Linked DNA regions of Stegostoma tigrinum. The protein of the gene in region 1 binds, or shares a complex with, the protein of each later gene. Links are inferred from orthologs where the notes say so. Each region holds a gene or a part of one and is shown in the gene's direction. Other genes may lie near its edges.

Region 1 (8,525 bases):
GTTCCCGTGATTATACCATTAGGAATGAATCAGGATTCCAATTTTCAGCTCTGACTGGTTTTCCTCAGGGCAGGACCCTACCAACAATAATGGACCATTGTCAGAAGGTCATTAATGAGGAATCATTTCACAAACCTAAATCTACTGAATTGAACCACCACTTGCATATGCTACCCCACCCACACCACCCCGACCCCCCACCATCCCCGCATCCCCTTCAATCGACATCTTCCCTTTCACCATCAAGCGAATGAAAAGATGGCTTATGGTTGAGCAATAAAAAAATAGGCAAGTTGGTAAAGTGACAAAAAGAAGAACAAAATGTATATGCTTTAACTAAAGAAACTCCACAAAGTTAACCTCAGCAATGGGGCCAATTTGAGACCAAAATGGAGATTTATACAGTGAAGCAAAGGCTTGACTTAGGATCTAAATGTAATATTAAATTAACATTTTGTATCTGTCTTTACCTATAACAAGGTAGAAAATGCTGTGCTGGCCATGATGACAGAGGAGGAAACTCAGTCACTAGAAGGATTTAAACTTGATAATGAAGTGGTATTGGACAGGCTGCCTGTACTTACAGTTGAAAAGGTAACAGGACAAGGTTAGATGCTTCTGTGGATACTTACCGAAGTAAGAATGGAAATTTCAGAGGTACTAGTATTAATTTTTCAGTCTTCATCAGACCTAAAGATGTTAGCAGAGGACTGCAGAATTGCAAACACTATACTTTTGTACAAAAAGAGATATAAGGATAATTCAAGCTGCTACAAACTAGCCAGCTTAACTCCTAAGTTTGGGAAGCTCCTGGAAACAATAATGATGGACAGAATTAACAGTCACATAGGACAAATGCAGACTGATTGAGGAGAGCCTGCATGGATTTCTGAAAAGAATATTATTTTTAACCAACTTATTGGAGTTTTTTTTTAAAGAGGTAATGGCATGGGTGGATGACCATGTGATGTACACGCACTTCCAGAAGGATACGATATCACACAACAAGCTTATGAGCAAAGTTAGAACTCGTGGAATAAAATGGACATTAGCAACCTGAATCAAATCAGCAGAGTGACAGGAAGCAGAGAGTACAGTAATGGTTAATAGATAATAGATGGGCTAGGAAATAACTTGTAATGGAGTTTCCCAAGCATCAGAGTTGGAATGCTTTAATTTCCTAACATTTACAAACAATCTGGACCTTGGTGTGATGGGGACGATTTCAAAATCTACCCATGAGACAAGCAGTTTAAATTGTGAGGACAGCATGCAACTTCAAAAGGGTATGGGCAAGTTGGTGGAGTGGCCAGAAAGAAGGCAGCTAACCTTCACTATGGAGAAGTGTGATGTGACACATTTTGAATAATAAAGATAATGGAGAAACAATATAAAATACAGGGCACAACTGTAAAGTGGGAGCAGAAGCTCAGGAATCTGTGTGCACATACAAATAAATCATTAGAATTTGCAGGACAGGCTGAGGGCCTGGTGAACAATGCGTACAGTATATCAAGTGTTATTTATAAGGATGTAGACTATGAGAGCAGCACTGTTACATTGAACCTATATAAGTCACTAAACATTGTTGAAAGGATACACAAAGATGAAGCTTTTTGCATTCATCAGAACCACGACACAGAAAAAGACTTGAGCCAGGGGACAGAGACAAGACAGTGTGGGATAACAAAGTGCGGAGCTGGGTGAACACAGCAGGTAAAAGGGTCTTGACCTGAAGCATCATTTTTCCTGCCCCTCCAATGCTGCCTGGCCTGCTGTGTTCCTCCAGCTCCATGCTGTGTGCTCTCTGACTCCAGCAGTTGCAGTTCTTGCTTTCTCTGATTGAACCAGGATACACTATTTATACAGCATGCAAAGAGGGTGCTGGTTGGTTTTCTGGTAGATATGCATGCCCTTGTCCACGAACCTGTTGTTTAAAAGAGGATGGAGTTATCTTTGGGGCCCAGTCAACAGTTATCCCTTAGTCAATATTAAAGTAAAAACAGCTTACCTGGTCAGTATCATATTGCTGTTTGTGGCAGCTTCCTGAGCACATATTGGCTGCTGCATTTCCTGCAGTAAATAGTGACCACTTCAAAAAGCATTCAAAGTTATAAAGTGCTTTGAGGTGCCTTCTGGTCATGACTGTTACTTAAATGCAAATAATATGGGACATTTGAAGGAGTAGTCTATAGGCCTCTTGACAGTAGCTATACATTGGAACACAGAACAAATCAGGAGATAATGAGGGCATGTTAAAAAGGCAGTATGTTAATCATGAGTGACTTTAATCTTCATGTCGATTGGGATAGTCAGATTGGCAGACGCAACCACAGAAAAAGCTTATATGGCATATTTAGGACAGTTTGCTGGAGCAATGTATTGTGGATCCAACCAGGCATCAGGCTTTTTTGGTCTGGTTATTGTCAAAAAGGCAGGTTTAATAAATGATGTCAAAGTAAAAGGTCCCCTTGGAAAAGGTCCCATATCATGGCAGAATTTAACATTCAGTTTGAGAGGGAGGAACTTGGGTTAAAAACAACTGAACTGAACTTAAATAAGGGCAATTTAAAAGAATGGGGGCAAGCTGGCTTGATTGAACTGAGAAAAGAGTCAAACAGAAGAGGCGAGTGAGCAACAAGAGCAGATGTTAAAGAAAATAGTTCATGGTTCATGACAAAGATACATCTAAGTGTGGATGAAAGTCTCTAGGAATGAGATAAGCCCAATCTTGCCTAACCAAGGAAGCTAAGGATAGCATCAAACTGAAAGGAAAAACATACAACATGGCACCACTTAGTGATCAGCCAGGGGATTGGGAATAAAAAGTAAAGGTGGAGAAGATAAACTTTGAGTGTAAACTTGCTTGTAATATCAAATGGGCAGCAAGAGCATCTCTAAATATATGAAAAGGAAGGGACATGCCAAAGTTAACATTGACCCTTTGGAGAATGAGGCTGAAGAAATAACAATAGGCAACCAGATGAGAAGGGTTGAATAGGTACTTGCATCAGTCTTCATGACAGAAGGCATGAATAACATTCCAAAATTACTAAATTAGCAAGGGGGAAAGGGGGAGAGGAAATAAATACACTAAATATGACAAGAAAAATAGCAAGAAAACTAATGGGGCTAAAGATCAACAAGTCACTTGGACCTGATGGGAGACATCCTAGGATATTAAAAGAAGTAGCTACAGGAATAGTGGTCACACAGGTAGCAATCTTCCAAGAAACCTTAGATTCTGGAAAAGTCCCAGAGGATTGGGAAACTGCCATTGGAACAGCTTAACTTAAAATGAGAATGAGGCAAAAATGGGTAACTATAGGCTAGTTAGCTTGTAACATGACTTTGGAAGAAAGAATAGTGGAGCTGAATATTAGTGAAATGGTGAAAGAAGACAGGAAGCTACAGAACGGAGGAATTTGGGATTTCTAGAGCATAAATCAGAATAATACAGCATCTAAGTTCAGTAGGTAATCAGGAAGATAAATGGAATGATGGCCTTTATTTCAAAGGTAATCGAATATAAAAATAGGGAACTCTTGCTAAAACAACTGTCATCAGACAACAGTTGAGGAATATTGTAACTATTTTTGGGCTCCTTATATAAGAAAGCATATATTTGCATTGGAGGCTGTCAAGTGAACAGATGCCGGCTACAGAGGGCCTGTCTTGAGGAGAGGCTGAGTTGGCCTGTACTCATTGGAGTTTAGAAGAATGATAGGCAACCTTATTGCAACATACAAGATTCTTTAGGGATTAAACAAGCATAGAAGGTTGCTTCCCCTACTAAAAGAGTCCAAGGCCAGAGGACATAATCTTAAAGTATGGCTTCTCCCAGTTAGGATGAAGATGAGAAATTTATTCTCTCAAGGGGTATTCTATCAATCTGTGGAATTCTTTACCTTTGGCTATTGAGGCTGGAGGATTAACTACATTCGAAGCTTAGACAGTCAGATTTTTAATTAGTAAGGGAATCAAGGGCTATGGGGAGAAGGCAGGAAAGTGGAGTTGAGAATTATCGGATCAGCCAAGATGTCATTTAATGGCAGAGCAGTTTGCATGAACTGAATGGCCTATTTCTGCTCCTCTGACTTTTGGTTTTAGTGTTATTCTACCCAGTTTGCAGTTCGAGTGTGCAATCACAGGGAATAACTGAAAAGACAACCACATAATCATCCATGAGAGAGACACAGGGTCTAACTTCGTAAAATTAAATGAAGTGCTATTACTTCTTTACTGAAGTACTTTACAAGATAATGTATGGCTAAGAAAGGGTGGACGCTGGGAAGTCATTTCCGTTAGGCAGGGAGACTAGGATCCGTGGGCACAGCCTCAGAATTAGAGGAGGTAAATTTAAAACGGAAATGAGGAGACATTTCTTCAGCCAGAGAGTGGTGGGCCTGTGGAATTCATTGCCACGGAGCGCAGTGGAAGCCGGGACGTTGGATGTCTTCAAAGTGGAGATTGATAAATTCTTGATCTCACAAGGAATTAAGGGCTACGGGGAGATTGCAGGGAAGTGGAGTTGAAATGCGAAGCAGCCATGATTTAAATGGCAGAGTGGACTTGACAGGCCGAATAGCCTTACTTCCACTCCTATGTCTTATGGTCTTATGGCTATTAGTGTGCAGGATATAAACACACCAGGTTTTGTCTTGTTGGATAACAAGATGTAGAGCTGCACAAACACAGCAAGCCAAGCAGCATCAGTGGATCAGGGAGGCTGATGTTTCGGGCCTAGACCCATTTTGTCTTGCGGCGCAGTAATAACGTCACCACCTCTGAGCCAAAGGATTTTCATTCAATGTTGATGACAAGGAATCACAAACATCCGGGGGCGGAGCTTGCGGTGGTGGGTGGGGTTTGTTCGTGGTTGGGCGGGGTTTATTTGTGTGTTGCTGGGCTGGGCTGAGCTGGTTGGGCCCGTGCTGGAGAAAATATGCATGCGCCTATGTCGTAGCAATGCGCAAGCGTAGATGCCTGCTTGTGGTCGTTAGAGCTCGAAACTTTGTGTTATGAAGTAGGATGTTTGTGTTTGAATAGTGAAGAATGAAAATGTGATGATAGAGTATTAGAAGACGGCGTTGGCGTTAATTAATTAGTTTTTTTATTCGGGAGAGTCCAGCAAGTAATGGTTAGTATGCACATGCGCAAACCTCGGGTGTGAAGTACGCATGCGTGGGCACAGGCCTCCTGACAAGGAAAATGCAACAGTTTGTTCCTTTAAATGGAAACTGCTTTCATCGTCGACAGCGATTGGGATGAGTTTTACATCATCTACGGAGACTGGAACACAGCTTCAGTCATCTACAGATACTGGGGTGAGAGCGAGCTGTTTACAGTTTCAATCATCTACCGGATACCAGTAACCCCTGGCGTTCATGGACGTTAAGCACTTCTTTCTGACCAACACATCCGCTGTCTATTTCCTCAATCTCAAGTATCGTGAAAACACTTTCAGTTGTCGCTAAGTGGTGATGTTATTAAGCCAGAACTTTCAAAAGTTGATTGGGCGCAGACGTTCACAGATAAAAGGACAGCTGTAAATGGGAAGCCTTCACAATTTAGGTAATGGGAGTCTAGGGAAAGTAGGTTCTTGTTGGAGTGAAGGGCAAGGCTGGTTGATGTAGGGAATGCTGGTTGATTGGAGAAATTGAGATTCTGATTATGAAAAAGAAGGAAGCATTTATCAGGTACAGACAGCAGGCATTAAGTGAGTCCCTAGAGGAATGTAAAAGCAGTAGAATTATACTTGAGGGAAATCGTGAGGGCAAAAAGAGGACATAGCTTTGGCAAGCAGGGTTATGGAGAATGCATAGCATTTCTACAAACACATTACAGACAAAAGAGTAACTAGAGAGCAAATGGGCTTCTTAAAGATCAGCAATGTTTTGTGTGGAACTGCAGATGGGTGAGATACTGAACAAGAATTTTGCCAGAAGTCACTTGACACTGGGTTATAGTCCAACAGGTTTATTTGAAATCACAAGCTTTCAGAGTGTTGCTCCTTTGTCAGGTAAAGTGGAGGGAAGCACACAAGCACAGAATTTATAAGGAGGTAATTAAGAGTATCAAAAGATAAATACAAGTAGTGTAAGTGAAGGGATGACCTATGATCTGATTGATAATTACAAAAAAATCAAAATTAGGATAGTGCTGGAGACAAACTAAATGACTGGAATAACATGATAGATATAAGACTTGCATTGCAAGGGTTTAACCAGGGTAACAATTAATCCAAAATTGTATAAATTAATTAAGGTTGAGATCATAACAAGTTATCAAGGTGATGGTGCCAAAACAGAATGGTAAGGAAGATTATACACAGATTAGAATGGTAGGATTACATGTAGTGCAACATGAACCCAAGATCATGATTGAGGTTGTCCTCATGGTTGAGGAACTTGGATATTGGTTTCTACTCTGACTCTGCATTGTTATGTACATTGAAGGCTGCTTTGGAGGACATTTACCTGAAGTTTTTTTATTCTTGTGGGATGTGGATGTTGCTGGCTGGCCAGCATTTCTTGCCTGTCCCTGGTTGCCCTTGAGAAGGTGGTGGTGAGCTGCCTTTTTGAACTGCTGCAGTCCTCCTGCTGTGGGTTGACCCGCAATGCTATTAGGGAGGGAATTCCAGGTTTTTGACTGAGTGACAGTGAAGGAACGGTGATATATTTCCAACTCAGGATGGTGAGTGACTTGGATGTGATGGTGTTCCCATATATCTTCTGCCTATGCCCTTTTAGATGGGAACTGGTCTTGGAAGATGCTGTCTGAGTATCTTTGAAGATCAGAGGCTGAGTGTGTCCTTGATTATTTTGTATCAATGTTTACTGTGGAGAAGGATGTGGAAGCTAGAGAACGTGTGGAAACTGTCCATATTACGGAGGAGGTGCTCCTGGATGCCTGAAAATGCGTAAAGGTGGATAAATATTAGGGATAGATCAGGTGTATCCTAGAAATTTGTGGGAAGCTAGGGAAGTTATTTGCTGAACCCCTTGCTGAGATGTTTGTACCATTAATAGCCACGGATGTGGTGCCAGAAGACTGGAAGTTGGCTAACGTTGCGCTAGTGTTTAAGAAAGGCAGCAAGGAAAAGCCAGGGACCTATACATTAGTGAGCCTGACAACAGTGGTGGGCAAGTTGTTGGAGGGGGTTCTGAGGGATAGGATTTACATGTATTTGGAAAAGCAAGGACTAATTTAAGATAATCAGCATGGCTTTGTGTGTGGGGAAATTGTGTCTTACTAACTTGATGAAGCTTGAAGAGGATGAATGAAGCCAGACTGGTGGACATTGACCATCTTACTGAAGTCCATATAAACAATGAGATTCCGCGTGGTAGACTAATAACAAGGTTAGGTCATGTGGAATACAGTGAGAACTGGCTATTTGGATACAAAATTGTCTCAAAGGCAGGAGACAGAGGGTGGTGGTGGATGGTTGCTTTTTAGACTGGAGGCCTGTGACTAGCAGTGTGCCGCAGGAATTGATGCTGGGCCCAATGCTTTTTGTCATTTATACAAATGATTTGGATGTGAACCTAGGAGGTATAGTTAGTAAATTTTCAGATGACACCAAAATTGCTGTAGTGGACAGTAAAGGTTACCTCAGAGTACAACAGAACCTTGATCAAATGAGCTAAAGGGTGGCAGATATATTTTAAGTTTGACAAAGGTGAGGTGCTGTGCTTTGGAAAGGCATATCAGGGCAGGACTTGTACATCTTAATGGTAGGGTCCTGGGGAATGTTGCTAAACATATAGACCTTGGGATGCAGGATTGTAGTCCCTTGAAAGTGGAGTTGCAGACAGACAGGGTACTGAAGAGCGCAGTTGGTTCACTCGACACTATTGGTCAGTGCATTGAGTACGGGAGTTTGGAGGTCATGTGGCTGTACAGGACATTGGTTAGGCCTCTTCTGGAACACTGTATTCAATTCTGGTCTCCCTGCTGTAGGAAAGATGTTGTTACATTTGAAAGGGTTCAGAAAAGATTTAAAATGCTGTTGCCTGTGTTGGAGGGTTTGAGCTGTAGGGAGAGGCTGAAAAGGCCGAAGCTATTTTCCCTGAAGCGTTGGAGGCTGAGAGGTGACCTTGGAAGTTTAGAAAATCATGAGGACCATGGATAAGGTGAATAGTCAAGGCCTTTTCCCCAGTGTAGGGGTGTCCAAAACTAGAGGACATAAGTTTAAGGTGAGAAGGGAAAGATTTAAAAGGGCCCTGAGGGGCAGTTGGACCGAAGGGTCTGTTTCCCTGCTATGTGTATCTCTGACTGTAAAAGTAACATGCATTAGTAGAAACAATAAAATGTATTGTTTTGAAAACAGTAAGTATCTCGTTTTTAATTAGATTCAGATCTTCTATAAAACTTGAGCTGTGGCCTAAGTGAGGAGTTCATGTGACCTTTTGAATCTCGTACTCTGCATCCATTCACAAATGTCTTATGTTTGGTCACATGATGACAATCAGTTTTTAAATGAAAGTGCATTGTTGATTCCTGTAAAAAGTAAACTTGAT
Region 2 (7,532 bases), on another chromosome or scaffold:
TCATTCACAACTGGATGTGGCGGAACTGCAGAGTTTAAATCTGGTCCCTTGATTGTGTGATTAATTAGCTCTGTTCATCACTTGCTGTTTATGCAGCTTGGCATACAAGTGTCCTGCTTGGTAGCTTCACCAGTTTGGCACCTCATCTTCAGGTATGCCTGGTGCTGCTCCTGGCATGCCGTCTTGCACTCTCCATTGAACCAGGGTTAGATTCATAGTCACACAGCTCAACATGTCCATGATGCCCAGATTTCCTAAACTAAACTAATTCCATGTGCCCCCACATATCCCATATACCTCTAAATCTTTCCTATTCATGTCACTGTCCAAATGTCTTTAAAATACTATAATTGTACTTGCCTCTACCACTTCCTCTGGCAGCTTCTTCCATATACACACCACTCTCCATGTGAAAAGGTTGCCTCTCGATCGGTTTTAAATCTTTCTTACCTTAAACCTACGCCCTCTGGTTTTGAACTCCCCCAGTCTGGGGGAAAAACAACCTTTGTTATTCATCTTGTCTATGCCCCTCATGATTTTATAAACTTCTATAAGATAATGGCTCAGCCTTCAATGCTCCACGAAAAAGTGCCAGCTTATCCAACCTTTCCTTATAACTCAAACCTTGCAGTTTCAGTAACATTTTCAGAAATCTTCTTCACACTCTTTCCATTTTTATGACATCCTTTCTATAGCAAGGTGATCAAAATTGTATGCAGTACTCAAAGTGTGGCCACATTAATGCCTTGTACAACTGTAGTATGACATCCCAATTCTTGCACTCAATGCTCTGACCAATGAAGGCAAGCGTGCCAAATGCCTTCTTCACACCCTGTCTACCTGTGATGCCATTTTCAAGGAACTATGTCTCTGCACCCCAAGGTCTCCCTGTTTAACAACACTGCCCAGAGCCTTTCTATTAACTGTGTAGGTCCTGCCTGGTTTGTCTTACCAGAATATAACATCTCACATTTATCTAAATTAAACTCCATCTGCCATTCTTTGGCCCACTGGCTGAGTTAAGCAAGATCCCATTGTTCTGTTTGATCATCTTCTTCACTGTCCACTATACCACCAATTTTGGCATTATCTGCAAAGTTACTAACTATGCCTCCTACATTCTCATCCAAAATGTGTATATAAATGATGAACAACAGTGCACCCAGCGCTGCTCTTTGCGGCACACCAGTGTTCACAGGCCTCCAGTCTGAACAACAGCCCTCTGCCACCAACCTCTACCTCTTTCTGTTGAGCCAGTTTTGTATCCAATTGGTTAACTCTCGCCTGAATCTTTTGTGATATAACCTTCTTAACCAGTCTATGATGTGAAACCAGGTCAAAGGTCTTGCTAAGGTCCACATAAACCACATCTACCACTCTGCCTTCATCTATCTTCTTGGTCACCTCTTCAAAAAACCCAATCAAGGCCCTGAGGCTTGGTCACCTGGCCTGATAGTATTGGTTGAGTGGGGAATATGCTGGGCCAGGAGGTTGCAGATTATGCTGAAGTACAATTTCTGTTGCTGTCGATGGCTCACAGCACCTCTTCAATTGCCCAGTTTTGAACTGATAAATCTGTTCAAAGTCTGTCTCATTTAGCACAATGATAGTGCGACACAACACGAAGGAGATTTTTCTCATTGTGAAGTAAGGACTTTGTCTCCACAATGAATGTTCAGTGGACACTCTTACTAATACTGCTATGGACAAATGCATCTGCAGCGAGTAGATTGGTAAGGATGAGTTTAAATATATTTTTGTTTGTTTATTTAAGGGGTGAGAGCATTGCTGGCCAGGCCATCATTTATTGGCCATCCCAGAGGGCAGCCATATTGCTGTCTGTCTAGAGTCACGTGTAGACCAGAGCAGGTAAGGATTGCAGTTTCCTTCCCTAAAACATAGTTTTTTTTCCAACAATCAGCAAGGATTCATAAATTCATTAGATGCTTAATTCCAGATTGGCCAGGGCAGAATTCAAAACCTGAGTCCCCAGAGCATTACTTGGGTCTCTGGATTAACAGTCCAGCTATAATACCACTAGGCTGTTGCCTCCCTAATTTTACAGTAAGTTTTTTGCTCTTTTTGGTTCTCTCACCACTTTCTGCAGACCCAGTATAACAGCTGTATCCTTTAGAACCCAAGCAGCATTGTGGACTCTATCTGCAGCACATGGACTGCAGCAGTACGAGAAGACGTCATCTTTTCAAGAGCAACTAGGAAGGGCAATAAATGCTCATAAGCCAGTGATGCCCCCATCCCACAAATGAATAAAAAACAAGCTTAACCAGAGTGCAGGTGCCAAGCCACCCTTGGGGGTGTACGTTGAAATCACCCATATTTTGCGCCCATGCTAGCCTCAGTGCTTCCTCCAAGTGTTGTTCAACAATGAGGAGTACTGATTCATCAGCTGAGGGAGGACAGTACCTGGTAACCAACAGGAGGTTTCCTTGCTAATGTTTAACCTGAAGCCAAGAGATTTCATGGGGTCTGCAGTCAATGTTGAGGGGACCCAGAAAAACTCCTTCCCTATTGCATGCCACTGTGCCACCACCTGTCCTACCAGTGGGACAGGACACGTCCAAAGATGGTGATGGGATTGTTCTAAGAAGACAGTGACGTCTTCTAAGGGTCACTGGATGTGAAACATTAACTCTGCTCTCTCTCCACAGATGATGCCAGGCCTACGGAGTGTTTCTAGCATTTTCTGTTTTTATTTTGTTCATGATGTTGATGTCCAGGATATTGTCTTATGATATATGATTCAATGAGTATGATTAGGTCAGGCTGCTGCTTGACTAGGCTGTGAGACAACACTCCCAATTTTGGCATTAGGCTAAAATGTTAGTAAGGAGAACTTTGCCGGGTTTACAGGGCTGTTTCTGTTGTTGTCTATTCCAGTGCCTCAGTCAATGCCATGTGGTCCAGCCAGTTTCATTTCTTTGTTGAGACTTTGCAGTGACTGATACAACAGAGTGGCTTGCTCGGCCATTTCAGAGAGCAGTTGAGAGTGAACCACATTGCTGTGGTTCTGGGGTCACATGTCGGTGACACCAGGTGAGAATGGCAGATTTCCTTCCCTGACGGACATTAGTGAGCCAAATAGTTTTTTCTGACAATCGACAATGGCTTCATGGTCATCAGTAGATTCTTCATTGCAGGATAATTTTCAGATTTCAAAATGCTGTACGTGCTTATAGTTCACCAATCATATTCACTAGTATTCGCAAATGGTGGAATAAGCTTAGAGTCAGCACAGGCATCATGGCCCAAAGGGTCTTTAACTACGTTTAAAGCATGATTGAACATTGCATTTATATAGTACCTCTCAGAAATACTGGACATCTCAAACAGCAAATGAAGCAGTTTTATAATCAGGTTTTTAATTCCTAACCGAATCCGGCCTCCTGCCCCAACACATTCACACAGAGATAAAAGCAGAAAGTGCTAAAAAGAAATTGAGCAGATCCTAAAGTATCTGTGGAGGGAGAAACACAGTTCAGGTTTCAAGTTAGTTTTGATTTAAGTTCACAGGCCAGAAAATTAATTGGGGAAACCAAGCGGAGGCTTGGGGACCGCTTTGCAGAACACCTCCGCTCAGTTCGCAACAAACAACTGCACCTCCCAGTCGCAAACCATTTCCACTCCCCCTCCCATTCTCTTGATGACATGTCCATCATGGGCCTCCTGCACTGCCACAATGATGCCACCCGAAGGTTGCAGGAACAGCAACTCATATTCCGCCTGGGAACCCTGCAGCCATATGGTATCAATGTGGACTTCACCAGTTTCAAAATCTCCCCTTCCCCCACTGCATCCCTAAACCAGCCCAGTTCATCCCCTCCCCCCACTGCACCACACAACCAGCCCAGCTCTCCCCCCCCACCCACTGCATCCCAAAACCAGTCCAACCTGTCTCTGCCTCCCTAACCGGTTCTTCCTCTCACCCATCCCTTCCTCCCACCCCCAGCTACCTACTAACCTCATCCCACCTCCTTGACCTGTCCGTCTTCCCTGGACTGACCTATCCCCTCCCTACCTCCCCACCTACACCCTCTCCACCTATCTTCTTTGCTCTCCATCTTCGGTCCGCCTCCCCCTCTCTCCCTATTTATTCCAGTTCCCTCCCCCCATCCCCCTCTCTGATGAAGGGTCTAGGCCCGAAACGTCAGCTTTTGTGCTCCTGAGATGCTGCTTGGCCTGCTGTGTTCATCCAGCCTCACATTTTATTATCTTGGAATCTCCAGCATCTGCAGTTCCCATTATCTCAGAAAATTAAGCCTGTTACCTTTCACCTGAAAACTACATCTCCCAGAGGGCATTGGGGCTGAGCGCTGGCGCAGTGCGTGCAGTTGCGGGACTTGCCTGGGTCTGGTCACGGGATGTAAAGATGGCGTTGGATGTTCAGGCCCGGGACTGGGAGTTTGACCGCTTCGATGAAGGATCCCAGAGTGAGTTTCGAGCTGTGCTTCAGGCCCGGGCTTTGCTATGGGGAAAGAAAAGCCTTCTTTCCCAGAGAAATACTCTCTTCTAATTTCCATTTCTCATCTATCCCCGCCCCCCGGCCAATCTGCCCCCTCCCACCATAGAAGGGACTCTTCTTCTTTCCACTATTCTCTTCCCCCCAAGCCTTGGGCTGTCAGTTTCCCCTAAATCATCAGCATCTAATGATCTTAACCATTGATCCGATTCGGTACAGTGAACATTGTTTGCAGCAGTTCCTAACGCTGGAATGTAATCTGTGGTCTACTGTGTCTCAGTGCAGTCTGTTAAGTGGTTAGACAAGCGGGAGTCTGGAAGAACACAGCAGGCCAGGCAGCATTTGGAGGAAAGGAACAGTCAACGTTTCGGATATTGCCCTTCCTCGGTCTGTTAATTGATGGGTGCATCATAATAGAGATCATTTGGTATAATGAGTTCTTCATAGCTCTCTTAGAGCAAACCTGTCAGTTCTATTTTCTTGTTTTATCCTTGTAACCCCACAAATCTATTTCCCTTTAACAGAGTTTCCATTTGTCTTTTGAAATCATTAACTGTATCAGTTTCCAATACCCTCATTAGTAGAGTTTCTTGCCCTTTGAATCTCCTATGCAAAATCTTCAATCTGTGCACTGTTGTCCTTGTGCAATCAAATAATGGAAATACCTGAGTTTTATCTAAACCTGGCATTCTACATCTGTTAGACATCCCATGATCTCTTTTGCTTCAACGAGGCAAACCACCAGATTCTCCAGCTAGGATTAAAGATCCAGTGATTGATTCTGTTAAATCTTTACTGCACCCTTCTGTGGGCCCTCATGTTCTTCTGCAGGCACTGTGACCAAAATTAGATGTAGTGCTCCAGTTTAGGTCTTTTGAGTTCAAAATAATGTTTGGAACCTTTTTATTATAATAAATATGAACACTGCATGTCAGAGGTATTTGGCATAAGCAGTAGTATGTATGTTTGGTAGAAATATAAGTAACATGACAAAATGGTGTTTACTTAGTTGTTACCATCTGTTCCTATTGACATCTTCTTTGGACTTGTTGGTTGGCGTTTGCTATATTCTTCTTGCCCTGTGTGTCTGTTGACTATTATCTTCTCTTAATTGTGTTGAGGATCAGGACACTTCTTGTACCCTTTTATGTCTAGCCTGGTGCTACATTAAGTTTCTGATGATTTTACCATTGACTTCACCAACCTGATTACTTTATGATAATTTCATTATTACCCATTAGTATCTCCAAGGTTTTGGAGTAGATTTGCAGCTCGGGTTGTGGGTGTTGCGGTTGGTTGGCTCGCTGAGCTGGTTTGTTGCTCCGTAGACGTTTCATTACCCTACTGGGTAACATCGTCAGTGCAACCTCCGATGAAGTGTTGGTGTGTTTTCCCGCCTGGTTTTTAAACTCTGGAGTCCATTGAGCTGGATTGCCTTACTTCAGGTTTTCCTTTGTAGTGGAGTATATATGGGGTCAAGTTCTGTGTGTTAATTGATGGCTTTCTTCGTGGAGTACCAGGCTTCTAGGAATTCCCACACCTGTCTCTGCTTAGTTTGTCCCAGGATTTTGATGTTCTTCCAGTTGAAAGTGGATTGAGATGAGTGAGTATTTGTCATGTCTTTTAGTAGCCACTTGGTGTTCGTATACTCTTGTTGTTAGTTTCCTTCCTGTTTGTCCAATATAGTGTTTCTCACAGTCTCTGCAGGGGATCTTCTAGATGACATTGGTCCTGTCCATGACCATGGATGATATTACCCAGCAGGGTAACGAAACATCTGAGGAACAACTAACCAGCTCAGCGATACAACCAACCTCAATACCCATTAGTATTTCATTAAGTTACATGTTGCTTGCACACTGCCATTTGTTTATTGCGTAGGAGATTTTTTTTAACGTAGTCAACACAACGTAGTAGTTCTTATCTTTGATGTCTTGTTATGGAGATCGACAAACAAAAATATTTCTCTAAATGTGAGTTTGCTCGCTGAGCTGGAAGGTTAGTTTTCAGACGTTTCATCACCAAACATCATCAGTGAGCCTCCGACGAAGCGCTGGTGTTATGTCCCGCTTTCTATTTACATAACACCAGCGCTTCGTCGGAGGCTCACTGGTGATGTTTGGTGATGAAACGTCTGAAAACTAACCTTCCAGCTCAGCGAGCAAACTCACATCCAGAACCTCAACCTGAGCTACAAATCTTCTCAAAACTTGATATTTCTCTCAGCTTGCAATTAGCCAAACCCTGATCTGAGCTTTTACAACAGTTTGACATCCACCTTCCACTTGTTTCTCAGCATTTTCAGAATTCATATTTCCACACTAGCATATAGCCCAGCGGTTTATAAAGATTTATAAGGATTTACTACAAGTTCCCTGCTTTTGTACCCAATTTGTCTACTTCCTAAAGCTCATGATGTATACTTTCCTAATTGCTGTTTGTACTGTCATCTTCAAGGATCTATGCAGATGAGTTGCCAGTTCCCTCTGTTTCTGCATGCCCTTAATAACTGTGGCATTAATACTGTATTATATCTATATATCAAACAAAAATTGGCTGTAGTACTGACTTTCCAGTCTATAAACAACTTAACCATAGCACCCGTTTTTTTAATCTACCCTGACACTGATCCTCATTTTATGAACCTCAGTTTTATTACCCAGCCTGTTTAACGTAGTATGATGTCAAACTTTTCTAAACATCACTTTGGCAATGTTCTTTGCTTTCCCTTCATCCTGTCTCATGACTTCAGGGTAAGAAGGCCTATTAGTCAACTACATCCTGCCTTTTAAAATCCAAGTGGGTTCTTCTAAATTAATTTGCACCTCTTCAAGTCCCCATTCTAATTGCTTTCATTTTTTCTAAATTTTACCTACCTCTAATATTAAACTGACCAGCTTTTAGTTACTAGGAATGTCCTTGCAGTATTTCTTGAATGATGTTGTCATACTTGCCCCTCTCCAAAATGCAGAATTTTGCCTGTTATTTCCAACTCTACCTTCAAGGAATTGAGTTAAATAAAGTCCAAGCATTCAGCCAAAGATAACATGGAAAA
Region 3 (8,536 bases), about 34 Mb from region 1:
ACTCCCTGGGACCTTACCATTAAGATTCTAAGTCGTGACCTGAACTGCCTTTCCAAAATGCAGCACCTCACATGCACCTAAACTAAACTCCACCTGCCACTCCACCACCCATTGGCCCGTCTGGTCAAGATCCCATTGTATTGTACTCTGAGGTAACTTTCTTTGCTGTCGACTACACCTCAAATTTTGATGTCGTCAGTAAACGTACTCACCATACCTCTTATGTTCACACCCAAATCATTTACATAAATGACGAGAAGCATCGGATCCAACACTGATCCTTGTGGCACGCTGCTGGTCTAGAAAAGCAACTCTCCATCACCACCCTCCTCTGCCTTCTAGCCAGTTCTGTATCCAAGTTGCTAGTTCTCCCTCTATTCTGTGTGATCTAACCTTGTTGAATGCCTTACTAAAGTCCAGATGGATTAAGAATTTTATAATTTTCAATTAGATCATCTCTCATCCTTTTAAACTCCAGAAAATACAGGCCCCTTGCTCCCTTCTTCTAGGAGAGTTCCGGCTTTCTAGGGATCTGTCCGGTCAACCACCATTACATTCCCTCAGGTAAGGGGGCCAGAACTGCACAAAGTACTCCAGGTATTGGATTAGAACGAAGCTCTGCAGTCCATATCCAGTTATGAATTGTGGTGGACAATTAAATAAATCAATGGAGGAGGCTCAACAATTATCCCCATCGTCAATTATGGGAGAACCCAGCATATCAGTATAAAAGTGTCGCAACAATCTTCAGCCAGAAGTGCTGAATGAATGATCCATCTCAGCCTCCTCCAAAGCTGTGGCATTGCAGATACCAGACTTCAGCTAATTCAATTTACTCCTCATGATATCAAGTATTGGTTAGAGACAGTAAATGCTGCTAAGCCAATGGGCCCTGACAACTTTCCAGCAACAGTACTTAAGACATGTGCTCCAGAACTTGCCATACAACTAGCACTAACACTAGCATCTACCAAATGCAAATAAGAGATAATCTAACCATTCCCCTTGATATTCAATGGCAATAGATCACTAAATCCCCCACCGTCTACATCCTGGGGGTTACCATTGACCAGAAACTCAACTGGACTAGGCATATAAATACAGTAGCTATAAAAGGTGGTCAGAGGCTAGAAATACTGCAGTGAGTAACTCATCTCCTGACTCCCCAAAGCTTGTTCATTTTCTACAAGGTACAAGTCAGTAGTGTGATGAAATACTCCCCATTTGCCCGGATGAGTGCATCGCCAACAACACTGAAGAAGCTTGACACCACCCAGGACAAAGCAGCAGTTTGAGTGTAACCACATCCACAAACATCCACTCCCTCCAACACTGACACTGAGGAGGACCAGCGTATACTATCTACTAAATTTACTGCGGAAATTCACCAAAGATCCTTATACCGCACCTCCTAAATCCATGTCCACTTCCATCTAGAACAGAAGTTTTCCAAATGTGGAAAGGTGAGAAATGTGCCATGAAATTCTCGGGAAGCAGCACCCCTTCACATAGACTTCTGATACCTTGCATGTGCGGAAGGTGGGATATTCACTTCTTATGAAGCCTGGTTGCACAGGCAGATCCAAACATCTGGTCGGAGCATATGCAATGATTAAGGATTGTATCTCCAAGATGAGAAGAAATTGCATGTCCATAGTAAACAGTCACTTGTGTAATTGTTGAGCTGGACTACCTGCCTAGATATGTTTCCATTTTAGCACAGATTTTGAGGTGAATATGCTTCGAATTTGTTTTAGTTAAGCCACTAGTCCTAGTCTTAGAACACAGTTGAAGATGAAATGGATAATTTGTTGTATGCATTATCTTGCAAACCTGTCTAGTAAGGCTGTAACCAAAGTAAATGCAAGTAAATGTGACATTTATGAGCAATCAATTCAGCTGAAAAAAGTCGGTGTGCCATGGAATTTTTACATGTCTCATTGGAGTGTGCCATGTTATTGCAAGGGTTTGTAATCACTGATCTAGAAGGACAAGGGTAGCAGATACATGGAAACACCATGTGCAGGCTTCCTTTCAAGCCATGTGCCATCCTAACTTGGCAATATATCACCATTTCTTCAGTGTTGCTGAGTCAAATTTCTATACCTCCCTCCCTAACAGCATAATGGGCATATCTATAGCACATGGACTACAACTGTCCATGGCAGCTCAGCACCATCTCCTCAAGGTCTTACTCGGGAAAAGCAACAAATGCTGGTCAAGCCAGTGGCGCCCACATCCCACATGTGAATATTCACCAAGGTTCTATACAATTGTAGAAAGACATTGTAAACCTTGTAGTTAAATGCTGTTGCGATAAAGGCCGACATACCATTTGTTGTCTTAACTGAATTTTGTACCAGTATGTTAGCTTTCAGTAATTTGAATTGAATTGAATTAGCTTTATTGTCACGTACTCAGATAAGTACAGTGAGAAGTTTACAAATCACCACTTACAGTGCCATCTTAGGTACACAGTGCCTTGGTACAATTCTTAACAGAAATGAAGATAAAAAGTTACTTTAAAACTATACACCGTATAACTGTAGGTCAGAAAAACAAGAAGCTATTTAAAAAGACAAAGATCACAGTCTGTCTTCAAGGGCTTTCCACAACAAGAACAGCCAAGTCCTATCTATCCAGATTCTGCCGAGGTACAGAAAAAAAGTATGTACTGAATTGCCACCAGAGTAAAAAAAGGAAATAGGAAGTGCTCCAATGGAATGATTAATGGGACTATGAGGAAGGATATTGAAGGAGTTATTTTAGATTCATCAAAATGTTACCTGGGCTCCCATGGTTAAGAGCACAGATTATACAAACTAGACCTGTATTCCCTGGATTATAGAAAATTTAGGGATGATTTGACGGATTTTTCTTAGAAAGTTTATAAGAGTAGCTTGAGGAAATTGTTTAACAAGCACACAAAACGCTGGCAGAATTGTTCTTAAGAAGTCATATTGGACTCAGAACATTAACTGTTTCTCTCTCCACTCTATCAGACCAGTTGAGTTTCTCCAGCATTCCCTGTGTCTGTTTCTGATTTCCAGCATCTGCAATATTTTGTTTTAATTTGAAAGAAGAACATTTATTCTGCTGGTTTGATAGTCTAGGAGAAGGTGAAATAATGTTAATACATTTCATTTATTGAAATAGGGAGTTCAAGCAATGACTCCAAGATCCTATTCCACTTGGCAAATCAACTCTGTGGACACAAGGGTCACTTGTTACTTTTGTCTTTCCAGTAGGTGTCTTTCCCCACACATGCCCCTTCCCAGGACAGCAGATGTCATTGAGGGCAGGGATGATAATATAAAGATAACAAGGTGTAGAGCTGGATGAACACAGCGGGCCAAGCAGCATCAGAGGAGCAGGAAAGCTGATGTTTCGGGTTGAGACCCAGATTTCTGAAGAAGGGTCTTGACCCAAAACGTCAGCTTTCCTGCAGTGTTCACCCAGCTCTACACCTTGTCATCTCTGATTCTCCAGCATCGGCAGTTCCTACTACCTCATGATAATATTGAAACTTGATAGTTCACATGATATAAGTACACACTTCCTCCCGGATGGTAACTCTTAAGATTACCTCTCATGTTCCAACATACCAAGTTATGCAATTTAAAGTTTTCTCTCTTTGACCACCAAGATGGTAATCCCACGGGATTATGGTTCCCCTGCCAGGAGATAGTGGGTCAGCCTAATTTTAGGGTGTCTTTTCTAGCTCCCCTTCCCTTTTAGGGTGAACAGAAGGTATTCTGAAGGGAATTGTTCAGTCACAGATACTGTTGTCAATGACACCAACATAGGTGCCCAGTGACCTCCATCTCATGACAGCAGATTATTTTTCGTGTTCACAGCCCTGAACCTGTTGCCGAATTTCCATTGCCACAAGGCTTGGAAACCAGATTATGGTTAGCAAAAAACATTTTTGCTATGTTAGTATAGGGATCTTGGGGTGTTACCATTGTCCATGTGATTTTGACTGGTGTTTTTTAAAAGATTAGATTCCCTCCAGTGTGGAAACAGGCCCTTCAGCCTAACAAGTTCACACCACCCCTTGGAACCCACACATCCGTGAACACTACAGGCAATTTAGCATGGCCAATCCACCTAAGCCTGCGCATCTTTGGACTGTGGGAGGAAACCGCACAGAGGCTGGAATCGAACCCGGGTCCCTGGCGCTGTGAGGCTGTAGTGCAAACCACCGAGCCGTTTGTTGTCAGAGTTCAGTGATGTGTTGAACTGCTAACACCAGCACTGTCTCGCATCTGCAGCTTTTTCCACCATTACAATTCGTGTGATTTTTCTTCGCCTGTTCTGCCATAGAGGACGATTGTATCAGAGATAATGGGAACTGCAGATGCTGGAGAATCCAAGATAACAAAGTGTGAGGCTGGAAAAACACAGCAGGACAAGCAGCATCTCAGGAGCACAAAAGCTGACGTTTCGGGCCTAGACCCTTCATCCAGCTCCACACTTTATTATCTGCCATAGAGGACTGTTTGGACCGCACTTTGACGCCTCCGTCCCCAGCCTTGATGCCACGTCCCGACGGCATCGGTCAAAGAATCGGAGTGCAGAAACCTCTCCGCCATGTCAAAGTGACAAACACATCCCTCGGCACAATTTTTTTTAAATAAAAGCTTAGACGGCAAATAGCCACCGTTTATGTTCAAAGAGTCTGCATCTTTAACTGGTCAGATTGACAATCACGGGTTGGCGCCTGTGCTACGAGGAGGAATCGGGGGAACTGAGGAAACGCTGTGGGAAATATATAGAAATGAACAGGAGATGGTGGATTAACTGAGGTACTACAATCAGAAACAAGGACCTTTCTGAACTAAAACGAAGTTACTGGAAATACGCAGCAGGTCTGGCGATGTTGTCGTTTCTTTGCCCACCTCCTGCCTTCCCTGGAAGGCCTTTGGGTCCTAGTTTTCCCCCCAGGTCTGAAGGGAGGTCTCAGTGTGTGTGTCCCTCTCCCACAGGCGCTGCCAGACCTGCTGAGTTTCTCCAGCACCTTTGAAGACTGTTGTCAATCTGAACGTCACCGGGTGCTCTCTTCCTCCTGGTGATGAAATGGGGGTTTCTCCGGTGGGACACTAGGCCCGAGGCCTGGGGCCCGGTGACGGTGACACACTCGGCCCTGGCGGCCCCGGGTGATTGCGGTCACGCGCGTGCTCCCGCCCCTGCCCGTCGAAGCTTCCCTTCCGGGTCAGGGGGTCAGGAGCTGTTTCCGGGCGGAATGGACGCGGACGGACTCCCGTTGGTGGGATCAGGGATCGACCTGACCCGGGTGAGGGGGGAAAGACAGGGGATCCCTGGAGCTGTGCTTTCATCAGCGATAGTTTAAAAGTTAACTGAGAGCCTGTAACCCTTAAATCTTATCCTAACCTTCGACTTCCACCCATAAACCCTAGTCTTAACCTCTAACCGCAGCCTGAGTCCTTCCCCTACCTGACCTATAACCCCTTAAACTCAATTTAACCCTTTAATTCCCAGCCGTAACCCCTTAAACTCAATTTAAACCTTTAATCCCAGCCATAACCACTTAAACTCAATTTAACCCTTTAATTCCCAGCCAAAACCCCTTAAACTCAGTTTAACCTCTTGATCCCAACCCTAACCCCAACCATAACCCCTTAACAATAATCCTAACCCCCTTACATCCAATTTAACCCCTTTATCCCCACCATAACCCCTTAATTTCAACGTAAACCCCTAAACCGCAGCTTTAACACCTAATTCTGTTCTGTGCTGTACTGTTCTATGTTCTATGTTCTAATCCTTACCCACTAACCATAACCTGTAAATCCTAATGTCAGCATGTAATTATAACTTCTAAATACCTGTCAGCATGAATTTACAAAAGGGAAATCATGTTTGACAAATGTACGGGAATTCTTCAACGGATGTGACTAGTAGAGTTGATCAGGGGAGCTGGGATGTGGATTATTTGGATTTTCAGAGCCTTTCCGCAAAGTCCAATATAAGAAATTAATGTGTGAAGCTAAAACACATCAATCTGAGAGTAGTGTATTGAAAATTGGTTAGCAGACAGGAAACAAAGGGTGGAAATAAATGGTGGGATATTGGCAGGGATTGGTACTTGGACCCTCGCAATTCACATTAAATGTTAATGATTTAGATGAGGGAATTAAATGTAATATCTCAAACTTTGCAGATGACACAAAGAGGAAGGGTGAACTGTGAGGAAGATGTCAGAATGTGATTTGGTCAGGCTGTGAGTTGGTAAATGCATGGCAGATCATGTCATGTGGATAAATGTGAAGTTATATGCTTTAGTAGGAAAAATAGGAAGGCAGATTATTACAAGAATGACTAAATTGAGAGAGGAGAATGATCAACAAGCCCTGGGTGACCTTGTTCGCCAGGAGCTGAAAGCAAGCACACAGGTGCAGCAGAAGGTAAAGAAGACAAATGACCCTGTTGGCCTCAAAGCGAGAGGATTTGAGTACAGGAGCAGGAATGTCTCACTCTAGTTATACAGGGCCTTGGTAGGGCAGCATCTGGAATATTGTGTGTAGTTGTGGCCTCAATATCTGAGGGACAATGCAGTTGTTCTAGATATAGTGCAGTCAAGGCTCACTGAATTGATTCCTAGGATGGCAGGAAGATATATTAGGAGAGGTTGAGTCAGTTAGGATTGTATTCATTGGAATTCAGAAAAATGAGGGGGTAGATCTCATTGAAATCTGTAAAATTCAACAGGACTGGATGATTAAATGCTAGAAGGATGTTTCTGTTGTTGGAGTCCAGAACCAAGGGCCATATCTTAAGGATACAAGATAAACCTTTTAGTAGGTTAGGACAAATTTCACCCAGAGAGTGGTGAGCCCGTGGAATTTGCTAGCACAGCAAGTGGAAAACACTGTTTTCAAGAAAGAGGTAGGTAAAGCTCTTGTGGCTAAAAGGGTTAAGGGATGTTAACCATGATCATAATGATTGGCAGAGCAAGCTTGAGAGATCAAATGGTCAATTCCTGCTCCTACATTCTATGTATCTTAATACTTAATCCTTAGTTTTGATCCCGAAACTTTGATATGGATCCCCAACTGCAGCCCCAAACTCAGTCTGCAACTTTAATGTCTAGTCCACAACAAAAGCAGAAGATGGGGGAAAAGCTCAGCAGCTCAGGCAACTTATGTGAAGAAAAAATCAGAGTTAATGTTTTGGGTCTGGTGACCCTTTATTAGAACTGGTCCTGAAACATTAACTCCGATTCTTTTCACAGATACTGCCAGACCTGCTGAACTTTACCAGCAACTTCTGTTTTTGTTCCTGATTTACACCATCCGCAGTTCTTTTGGTTTGTATTTAATATCTAGTCTTTGGCTCAGAAATTGTGGTTTCTTTTAAAATTGTTTTTGAGGTCTAACTTTAGAGTGAATGGGTTTTTGAGCACAGCTAATGGATTTGTGTTTATCTTAGATTGTTTTATGATTAGCAAGATAAATAATGGATCTTCGAGTTTTGTTTGTGACTACTGGAACTTTTAGATTCGGTTTGACTATGAGTGAGGAAGCCCTGTGAAAGTGTTCAATAAGGATGGTGGTTAGGTCCAGTGATTTTGAGAAGGGAAAGTTATCATGAACTAGCTTATCTCAGAGTGAAGAGTCAGTGTCAGTCCCAGACCAGAAGTGTTAGATAAAACCCTGAAGGGATTTCTAAAAGCTGAATATGTATAAATCATAGAACATAGAACATTACAGGCCCTCGATGTTGCGCCAACCTGTCAAACCAATCAGAAGCCCATCTAACCTACACGATTCCATTATCATCCGTACGTTTATCCAATGACCATTTAAATGCCCTTAAACTTGGCGAGTCTGCTACTGCTTCAGGCAGGGCATTCCATTGCCCTTACTACTGTCTGAGTAAAGAACCTACCTCTGACACCTGTTGTATATCTATCTCCTCTCAATTTAAAGCTATGTCCCCTCATGCTAGCCATCACCATCTGAGAAAAAAGGCTCTCACTGTCCACCCTATCGAATCCTCTGATCATCAGGCGTATAATATCTCCAGGAAGAAGTTATAAGACCATAAGACATTTCCTCAGCCAGAGAGTGGTGGGCCTGTGGAATTCATTGCCACGGAGCGCAGTGGAGGCCGGGACATTAAATGTCTTCTAGGCAGAGATCGATAAATTCTTGATCTCGCAAGGAATCAAGGGCTACGGGGAGAGTGCAGGGAAGTGGAGTTGAAATGCCCATCAGCCATGATTAAATGGCAGAGTGGACTTGATGGGCCAGTTCCAATCTGTAAAATGAAGTTACAAATGACTTAAACCTTATGAGATATTAGATACAGCGAGTCTGGTGTGAGTATTGTAGGAGTAGTCTTTTATGTACTGTACCAGGGATGTATTTTCCTTTGGATTTATAAAGGAGTCCTTTGGGATTATACTTTGACTGTGTATTTGAAACTTTGCTTTTGCATTGCAAGTAGATAGTTTAATTCATTCTATTTTTTTGTTAATAAACTTATTGTATATTGTTAAAGTAAAATCTGC

The links.
Region 2: wash1 (region 1) and washc4 share a complex: the UniProt entries of both Homo sapiens proteins name them as parts of the WASH core complex. The link is inferred for Stegostoma tigrinum from reciprocal best matches to the Homo sapiens genes WASHC1 and WASHC4.
Region 3: wash1 (region 1) and washc3 share a complex: the UniProt entries of both Homo sapiens proteins name them as parts of the WASH core complex. The link is inferred for Stegostoma tigrinum from reciprocal best matches to the Homo sapiens genes WASHC1 and WASHC3.

The regions. Positions count from the first base shown.
Region 1 is NC_081371.1:25,518,817-25,527,341, reverse strand, and holds the start of wash1 (WASH complex subunit 1), read left to right. Parts: upstream 1-4,908; 5' UTR 4,909-5,140; intron 5,141-5,146; exon of another isoform or gene 5,147-5,327; intron 5,328-8,525. UniProt on the Homo sapiens protein: Acts as a component of the WASH core complex that functions as a nucleation-promoting factor (NPF) at the surface of endosomes, where it recruits and activates the Arp2/3 complex to induce actin polymerization, playing a key role in the fission of tubules that serve as transport intermediates during endosome sorting.
Region 2 is NC_081378.1:53,491,497-53,499,028, reverse strand, and holds the start of washc4 (WASH complex subunit 4), read left to right. Parts: upstream 1-4,360; 5' UTR 4,361-4,387; coding exon 4,388-4,448; intron 4,449-7,532. UniProt on the Homo sapiens protein: Acts as a component of the WASH core complex that functions as a nucleation-promoting factor (NPF) at the surface of endosomes, where it recruits and activates the Arp2/3 complex to induce actin polymerization, playing a key role in the fission of tubules that serve as transport intermediates during endosome sorting.
Region 3 is NC_081371.1:60,015,133-60,023,668, reverse strand, and holds the start of washc3 (WASH complex subunit 3), read left to right. Parts: upstream 1-5,201; 5' UTR 5,202-5,245; coding exon 5,246-5,296; intron 5,297-8,536. UniProt on the Homo sapiens protein: Acts as a component of the WASH core complex that functions as a nucleation-promoting factor (NPF) at the surface of endosomes, where it recruits and activates the Arp2/3 complex to induce actin polymerization, playing a key role in the fission of tubules that serve as transport intermediates during endosome sorting.